Canis lupus familiaris: one gene and its partner. The protein of the gene in region 1 interacts with the protein of each later gene in a pairwise test. Links are inferred from orthologs where the notes say so. Each region holds a gene or a part of one and is shown in the gene's direction. Other genes may lie near its edges. The genes, in order: MRFAP1 and BRK1.

Evidence for each region.
Region 2: the proteins of MRFAP1 (region 1) and BRK1 interact in binary tests that used the Homo sapiens proteins (3 or more experiments, as listed by UniProt). The link is inferred for Canis lupus familiaris from reciprocal best matches to the Homo sapiens genes MRFAP1 and BRK1.

Annotation. Positions count from the first base shown.
Region 1 is NC_049224.1:59,279,225-59,283,134, forward strand, and holds MRFAP1 (MORF4 family-associated protein 1), read left to right. Parts: upstream 1-1,290; 5' UTR 1,291-1,417; intron 1,418-1,537; exon of another isoform or gene 1,538-1,540; 5' UTR 1,541-1,575; coding exon 1,576-1,959; 3' UTR 1,960-1,971; intron 1,972-2,343; 3' UTR 2,344-3,397; downstream 3,398-3,910.
Region 2 is NC_049241.1:8,298,833-8,302,655, reverse strand, and holds the start of BRK1 (protein BRICK1), read left to right. Parts: upstream 1-898; 5' UTR 899-979; coding exon 980-1,097; intron 1,098-3,823. UniProt on the Homo sapiens protein: Involved in regulation of actin and microtubule organization. Part of a WAVE complex that activates the Arp2/3 complex. As component of the WAVE1 complex, required for BDNF-NTRK2 endocytic trafficking and signaling from early endosomes.

The DNA of each region.
Region 1 (3,910 bases):
ACAAAAACACTTATGAGGGATGCTTGGGTGGCTCAGCGGTTGAGCATCTGCCTTCAGCTCAGGTGGTGATCCTGCGGTCCAGGGACGGAGTTCTACATCAGGCTCCCTGCATGGAGCCTGCTTCTCCCTCATGTCTTTGCCTATGCCTCTCTCTCTCTCTCTCTCTCTCTCTCTCTCGAATAAATAAATAAAATCTTTAAAAAAAAAAAACTGATGAGCTAGCTGCCTCTGATATACTGAGGAAGCCCAAAAGTTGGATTTCTAGTAAAGCAACAAAAGATAAGGAATCTGACAAATATCTAAAATATAAGGACCTTACATGTGTATATATTTGGTATTTACAAAGCATTTTCATGACTATTGTTTCTTTTCCCCCTTAACTCTTACCATAGTCACAACTAAGATTTGTGCAAAACAAAAGCCAAAGGCTCCGCACTTGTGCAAGCTGGATTCCTCAAGTTTTAACTCCTGTTTTATGACCCCATCCACAGGCTAGAAAATTATCATTTCTCAAAATTGTTTAGTATGGTTTTTAAAAAAAGATTTTGTTTATTTATTCATGAGAGACACGGAGAAAGAGGCAGAGACATAAGCAGAGGGAGAAGCAGGCTCCCTTGGACGAGCTCAATGCTGGACTTGACCCCATGACCCCCCCGACCACCACCCAGATGAGGGCAGATGCTCAACCACTGAGCCACCCAGGCGCCCCTTAAAGCGAGTTTACTAGCACGTGCCAAGCTGCGCCCAGGGCTTCAGGGACACAGACCCCCAGAGGACCCTGGACCGGTGGTGACACCTGCAAAGGCTAGCCAAGAAAACCCTCCTCACATCCCCCTGAGCTTTGGGTCTGGCGGAGCCTCGGGATGAAGGTACCAGTAGGGGCCTGGTACCCTGGAGCGAGGGGGGTCCCGCCTGGTGAAAACACACGCAGGCATTTCCGACTGTAAGCCGAAGATGACGGAAAAATGCACTTTCCTGACAGCTAAGAGGGGTTTGGCCGCCCTACTAAAACACAAGGGGCTATGGGAGTTAGTCTGGGGATGCCACAGCCTTTCTATCTTTGTTTATTGCAGGAAGGGCGCGGTTAAGCCTTAAAAAATATATAACTGAGTGCTCCAGAAGCCCTCCAAGAGGAGGGCGCGCCCAGAAGGGCTCACCCCAAAAGGAGGGCGGCGCAGGGGCGCGACCTAGGGGAAAGCGGCAAGCGCAAGTCAAGCACAGTGCGCGCCAGTACGTGCGCGCTCCCGGCCGCGGGGCGGGGTTGCCCCGCCCATCCTCCGTCGGCGTGCGCGCGCCCGCGCCTCGTTCCACGAGCGGCGTGACCGTAAAGAGGCACGGCCGTGTCGCGAAAGGGGCCGCAACGCGCAGGGCGCTGGTTGACGGCTGGGACTCCATTTTGTTCGCGGCTCCTCTCCTCGTAAGTCGTTCGTTTCCGCGGCTCCTGTGAAGCGAAAAAAGTTTAAAAAGGGTAAAAGTTTTAAAGGATTTTCTGGAACTCTGTCGGTAAGCCTAGCGAGTCTCCATTTTCTCTCCGCAGCAGACGTCGGTAAGCGCGGTTCCGGAGAGGCAGAGAGGATGCGGCCCTTGGACATCGTCGAGCTGGCGGAGCCGGAGGAGGTGGAAGTGCTGGAGCCCGAGGAGGATTTCGAGCAGTTCCTGCTGCCGGTCATCAACGAGATGCGGGAGGACATCGCCGCCCTCACCCGGGAGCACGGCCGAGCCTACATGCGCAACAGGAGCAAGCTGTGGGAGATGGACAATATGCTCATCCAGATAAAAACGCAGGTGGAGGCCTCGGAGGAGAGCGCCCTGAATCACCTGCAGAATCCCGGCGACGCGGTGGACGGCAGAGCGGCCAAGAGGGGCGAGAAGGCGGACGAGAAGGCCAAGGAGATCGCGAAGATGGCAGAGATGCTGGTGGAGCTGGTGCGGCGGATAGAGAGAAGCGAGTCGTCCTGAAGGAGGAGGGCGGTAAGGCGGAAGGGAGGCCGGCGCGGGGGGAGCAGAGGCCGCGGCGCGCTCCGGTTGTACCCTGCGTGTGAGCAGGGCGGCCGGAGTGTGTCCGCTTGCACCCGGGAGCCGCGGTGCCCTGCAGAGCCACCTGTGCAGGCCTTGAGGGAGGCAGAGTCACGCCGGGGCCGCCGAGCCACGGCGAGGAGAGAGAGGACCAGCCGAGGGGAGCGGTTATTGGGCCGTTTTGGGGTTTGCCGGAAGATCGGAGCGGGTCGGGGGGCGTCCTGCGTGTTTGAATTGGTGAGGGGTTTTGATTCGTTTGGTTTTCTTTTTCGGAATTAACCTCTTGAATGACGGCTTTCTCCCCTCTACTCCCGAACTGTACTTTAGGTTTACAGCCAACGGATTCTGGTCAACTGATGGGAGATTGGCTGACATCCTTGAGAAGCTGAAACCAGAGAGCCTTTTGTTTTCTCTCTCTCTTCCCCCACCCCCCCCCCCACCCCACCCCACACTCTGTCCTCACTTACACTACGTTTTTTGCTATGGTCTGTGGTTGGTGACCTCAAAATAAGTTTTGACTGTTAAATGTTTTTGTTTGGAAAAGTAACTTTTATTTGGAAGATGATCTCACATGAGAATTAGGGCCGAGATTGTAAGCTCTTGCAGCAGTGATGTTTGTTCTTGGGCTTTGGTGATTTCTAGGTTTTGAGGTGCTTTGTGCTTTCTTGTGTGACTTGATATAGCTCCCTGGATCTTTGAGTCTGTGTCACATGAGACTCAAGAGTTGGAGTCTTCCAGCTCTGGAGGTGCTGAAGGAGCTGCTTACTTCTGGAAGATTGCTTCGTGCAGCAACTGCTCAAGAAGCTGAAGAAGAAGGGACCAGACTTCAACTGGGAATGTGAATGGGGTTGACCTGGCTAGGACTGAGGAGTCGAAAGGAGGTGTGGAGGATGATAGTAGTGTCTGTATTTTCCGGACTTTAATTTCTGTGTGAGACCAAAGGAGAAAAGATGTATTTTGTTCAAAATTTAAATTTTATGTGGCGTACTATCTGATGTAACCTGTCTGGTCAGTTTATTTGGACAACCCAACTCAGTTTTATTTGATATGGAACCTAGAATAGACAAGATCTTGGTTTTTGTACAAGTTGATGTGATATTCTGATCATTTCAGGGGATTCACAATGGAAGAGATATTTGCAAAGGCTCTTGAGGGGCTGGCTGGGAAAAGAAAGGAGGACTGTCTGCATTGGACCCTAAACTGGACAGGGACTAGGTATTTTTGAGGTTGATAGGTCGTCCTGCTATAAGTTCATTTGAGTAGCAGACCTGACAAAGCATTTGAGGTCAAAACCCTACCATGTGTAATTAAAAAAAAAAAAAAGAAAAAAAAAAAGACCATGTTAATAAAAGTATTCATTTGCTTGAAAAGACAAAGGACCTAAAAAGTTATTGACTAAAATTTTATTTCTCTCAAAATCTTTCTCATTGATTGTCATCATTACCAAATGGAGGATGAATTTCTTCTAGTTTTTGACGCTCTCAGCCTCTGGTCACGGGGAAGATTTATTTCTGCATGCTAGTATCTACATGTTGATCGAAAAAGGGCAGACTCAGTTTTTAGTGTAGGAAGGAACCTCTTGAAATCCTGTGGTCTGGGCCATTGCCTTCAGACAGGCCATAGTACTTCCAGTCACCTAACCTAAAAAACTGGAACATTAGCCCTCACATTAGGGAATGCTATGGTAAGGGGGGGTGTGGACCACACCACTCCCAGCACCTTCAGATATGATGCGCTTACTCCCCAGCTGCTAGAAGTGTTGCTGACAGATGGTGTGTAGCTGGTCAGCCCTCCAGAAGCGCCTCTGCTTAAGAGTAGCCTTAGCTGAGGTCATGCCCCCTTTCCTGGGTGGCCCATATCCAAGGACTAATAGACTAGGGGTCTAAGGGCTCTT
Region 2 (3,823 bases), on another chromosome or scaffold:
TCATTTTCCTCTTCAATTTATCATGTATGTTGCCATAGTGCCCAGAATTACTATTTAAATACATTATATTGCCATAGGTGGCTATATTATTTTTTTTTAGAGATTGTATTTATTTATTCATGAGAGACACACATAGAGATTGGGGCAGAGACACAGGCAGAGGGAGAAGCAGGCTCCATGCAGGGAGCCCGACGTGGGACTCGATCCCAGCACCTCGGATCAGGGCCTGAGCCTAAGGCAGACGCTCAACCACTGAGCCACTCAGGCGTCCCTGGTTGTTTTGTTTTGTTTTTTTTTTTTTTTAAATAACGTTACAAAGGGCACCTTTGTGCTTAAAGTCTTTTTTTTTTTTTCTTTTTCAATGATTTTTCTCAATGAAATAATTAGGTCAAAAAAGTCCGAATTTTTTTTTTTGACAGCTCTTGCTATCAATTTACAAATTGCCTTCAGGAGTTGTGCCAGTTTACAGTGTGACCAGCTATTTAGGAGCCTATCAATTTCCCCTGGGCCTCTCCATCACTGGGTGCCATTGTTTAAACAACAAAAAAAAATGTTTTGTTCATTGGATGGGTCCAAGGTGGGGAATCATGTTGTGCTGCTGAAAGCCATTTTTAAAATGAGTCGTACTTAATGCGTCTTAATCGGCGACACACGGCCAACTTAGTTTGGAGCAACTGACCGAGCGAGCGTCTCGCGGTCCCGCGCCCGCTAACGACCCAAACCGCGGGCGACCGGGTCTGCGGTGCGCAGGAGAGGCGCGGCGCGTGCGCACTGCCCCCTCCCCGGCCGCCTTCTGGCGACTTTTTTCAGGGGCGTGGAGCAGAGAGAAAACGCACGCGAGGACTTGACGTCGCGCAGGCGCATCACAATGCCGGTGGATTCGTGGGTGCCAAGGGATGGGCGTGGGCTGGCGGCGCAGGCGCCCTGGCGGCCTGGAGGGTCGCGGCGCCTGCGCAGTGGCTCTCTTCAGGCGGCAGCCATGGCGGGCCAAGAGGATCCGGTGCAGCGGGAGATTCACCAGGACTGGGCGAACCGGGAATACATTGAGGTCATCACCAGCAGCATCAAGAAGATCGCGGACTTTCTCAACTCCTTCGGTCAGCGGGCGAGCAGGGGGCCGCGGGGGTTGGGTAGGAGGCCGCTCGGGCAGTTTGGCGAAGGCGCTGAGAAGCCTTGAAGGGGCTTGCCCCGGGAGCCCTGGGCGCTTGCTGGTTTCCGCGTCCTTTGCAGCCCACCTTGCCCCTCTCGCCCGGATCCTTAGGCCTCACCGGGCAGTCCCTGTAGGGTTATCCTGCGCCGGGCTGAGCTCCTCGGCTTCATTGCCGTCACCAGCAGATCCATTAGCAAGCCTTGCCCTCTCCCCGACTCTATAGAGGCAGCTGCATCCACAGCCTCGTCTTCGGTAGCCTCCCTGCTTCCTTTGTGACCCGCTTCCCTTCCAGTTCCCGCTTTGCACTTAGGGTGCGTCAGTCACAACGCAGCCACAGCCGTGTCGCTGCCCTCGTGTGAGTTTCTTGAGGCTTCCGCATCATTGTCAGGATCTCTTGAGCGCCATACCGTTGAGTCGCCTCTTCTGTCTTCCGGTTTTGCTGCGCTGAGAGTGGTGGGAGATGAGGCCAGATGTAAGGTCACGGAGAGCTCTGTATTGCTGCCACTAGCCAGCAGTAGGTATTGCTTCTGCTTCTAGCAAAATCTTTCCTAGGCATGGCGCGCTTGTGACAGATTCTTTCTGTTTTGTTCGTGTCCTTCTGGACAGCAAACCTGTAACAGACTCCCATCTCATGTGCTCCAAGTGTTTCCTTAACAGAACTGGGCACTGCGTAGACTTAAGTAATCACAAGGTGTAAGGATGACATCTAGTGATCTTTTTCCAACTAGTGTGCTTCTGTTCCACTAATTCAGCAACAAGCAACGAAGATTAAGTAGGGGAAACCGATGTATTTAAAAAAAAAAAAAGATTTTAAATGAATTAATTATTTTCCAGCTGGAGAACTGATGCATCCTGAGGAGTAAGGTAAAAGAGCATGAATTTTCTTAGAAAGCATCAGCAAGAGAAACCAGATCTCGGTAGAAAGCGCTCTCAGGTACTCTGGAGGACACAGAATAAGAATCATTTCCTGCTTTCAAGGAATTTCTGTCTTGCAAATGAAATAATGACAGTTTCAGAACATCGGTTTTGTATTAATATATATCCTTATAAAGTGTGTAGGACTATAATTTTGATGAGTCTTAGTATGATGGATCTTTCTCACCAGGGAATGACTGAGGGTAGTTACTGAAAAGAATAGTATAGAGTCATATGAAAGAATAGTATAGAGACGCCTGGATGGCTCAGCGGTTGAGCATCTCCCTTCCGCTCAGGGCGTGATCCCGGGATCCAGGATGGAGCCTGCTTCTCCCTCTGCCTGTGTCTCTGCCTCTCTCTCTCTCTCTCTCTCTCTCATGAATAAATATATGAAATCTTAAAAGAAAAAGAAAGAATAGTATAAGTATGTCATTGATACATATTCACACACATAATTTGGTATAGAGGTTGTAGTAGGGAATGGTAGTCAACATAGATCTCGTATATCCTGACATCTTTTAAGGACTATGAGCAAAGGAGTATGGTTTAGTGAAAAAGATACATGGATTTTTGGAGATAGACTCAAGTTCAGAGGCTAGATTAATTGATTTGAGTGAACTGAGACTATTTACCCTACTATTCAGATAATCTGGGTTTCTTTCCTCAGTTTTTTTCTTTTTTCCTAAGTTCTATGCAAACTCTTTCAATACTAGTTTTCATAATTGGTTTCTCCTACTTTTTCTGGAGAGCTTGAACTATTATTGGAGGTTGTTCACAGCATTATTTACTCATAACATTTCTTCAGACAAAGGACCATGGAAGAGAAACCAAAATATTTCATGGTAGTAGAAGGATGGAATGGTGCTTCTTCCAGAAGGAGGATCCTTCCAGAAGGATCTTCTAGGAGAAGATCACGGCTTGAGATTTGGCTTAGTTAGGAGAGGCAGTGGAAAGTAGTTGGAAAAATCACTGACATGGAGAGTTTTAACCTTAAAAAGCAGAATTAAAAGATTTCACCTATCTGGTAAGATCTGATCTATACACACAGATTATCTAAGCAAAGTATTAAGAACATCAACTAAATCAAAACATCTAAAATAACAAGTCATAGGGCGCCTGGGTGAGTTAGTCAGTTAAGCTTCCGGTTTCAGCTCTGGTAGTGATCTCAGTGTCGTGAGATGGAGCCCCAATTTGGAGTCCCTGCTCAGTGCACAGTCTGCTTAAGATTTCTCTCCCTCTCCCTTTCCCTCTACCCCACCCACTCAGGCACATGCCTTTTCTTTCTCTCTCTCTCTCTCTCTCTCTTTCTCATAAATGAATAAATTTTTTAAAAAGTAAATTAAGCTGGGGCTGTTTTTCAAAATTTAAAAATGATCTAGCACAAGTCCCCCAAATTTGGATCTGGGTAATGTAATAACTTCATTTCTGAGCACTGAGTTGTATTAATGAACCTTTTTTTTTAAGGATTTATTTATTTTAGAGAGAGAGCGAGCTTGAGTGAGGGTGGAGTAGAGGGAGTCTTTTTCTTTTTTTTTTTTTTTTTTTTTCTTTTTTTAGATTTTATTTATTTATTCATGAGAGACAGAGAGACACAGGCAAAGGGAGAGAAGCAGGCTCCATGCAGGGCCTGACATGGGACTCAATCCTGGGTCTCCAGGATCACGCCCTGGGCTGAAGGCGGCGCTAAACCGCTGAGCCACCCAGGCTGTCCCGAGGAAGAGATAGTCTTAAGTAGACTCTGCTGAGCTGGAAGCCCAA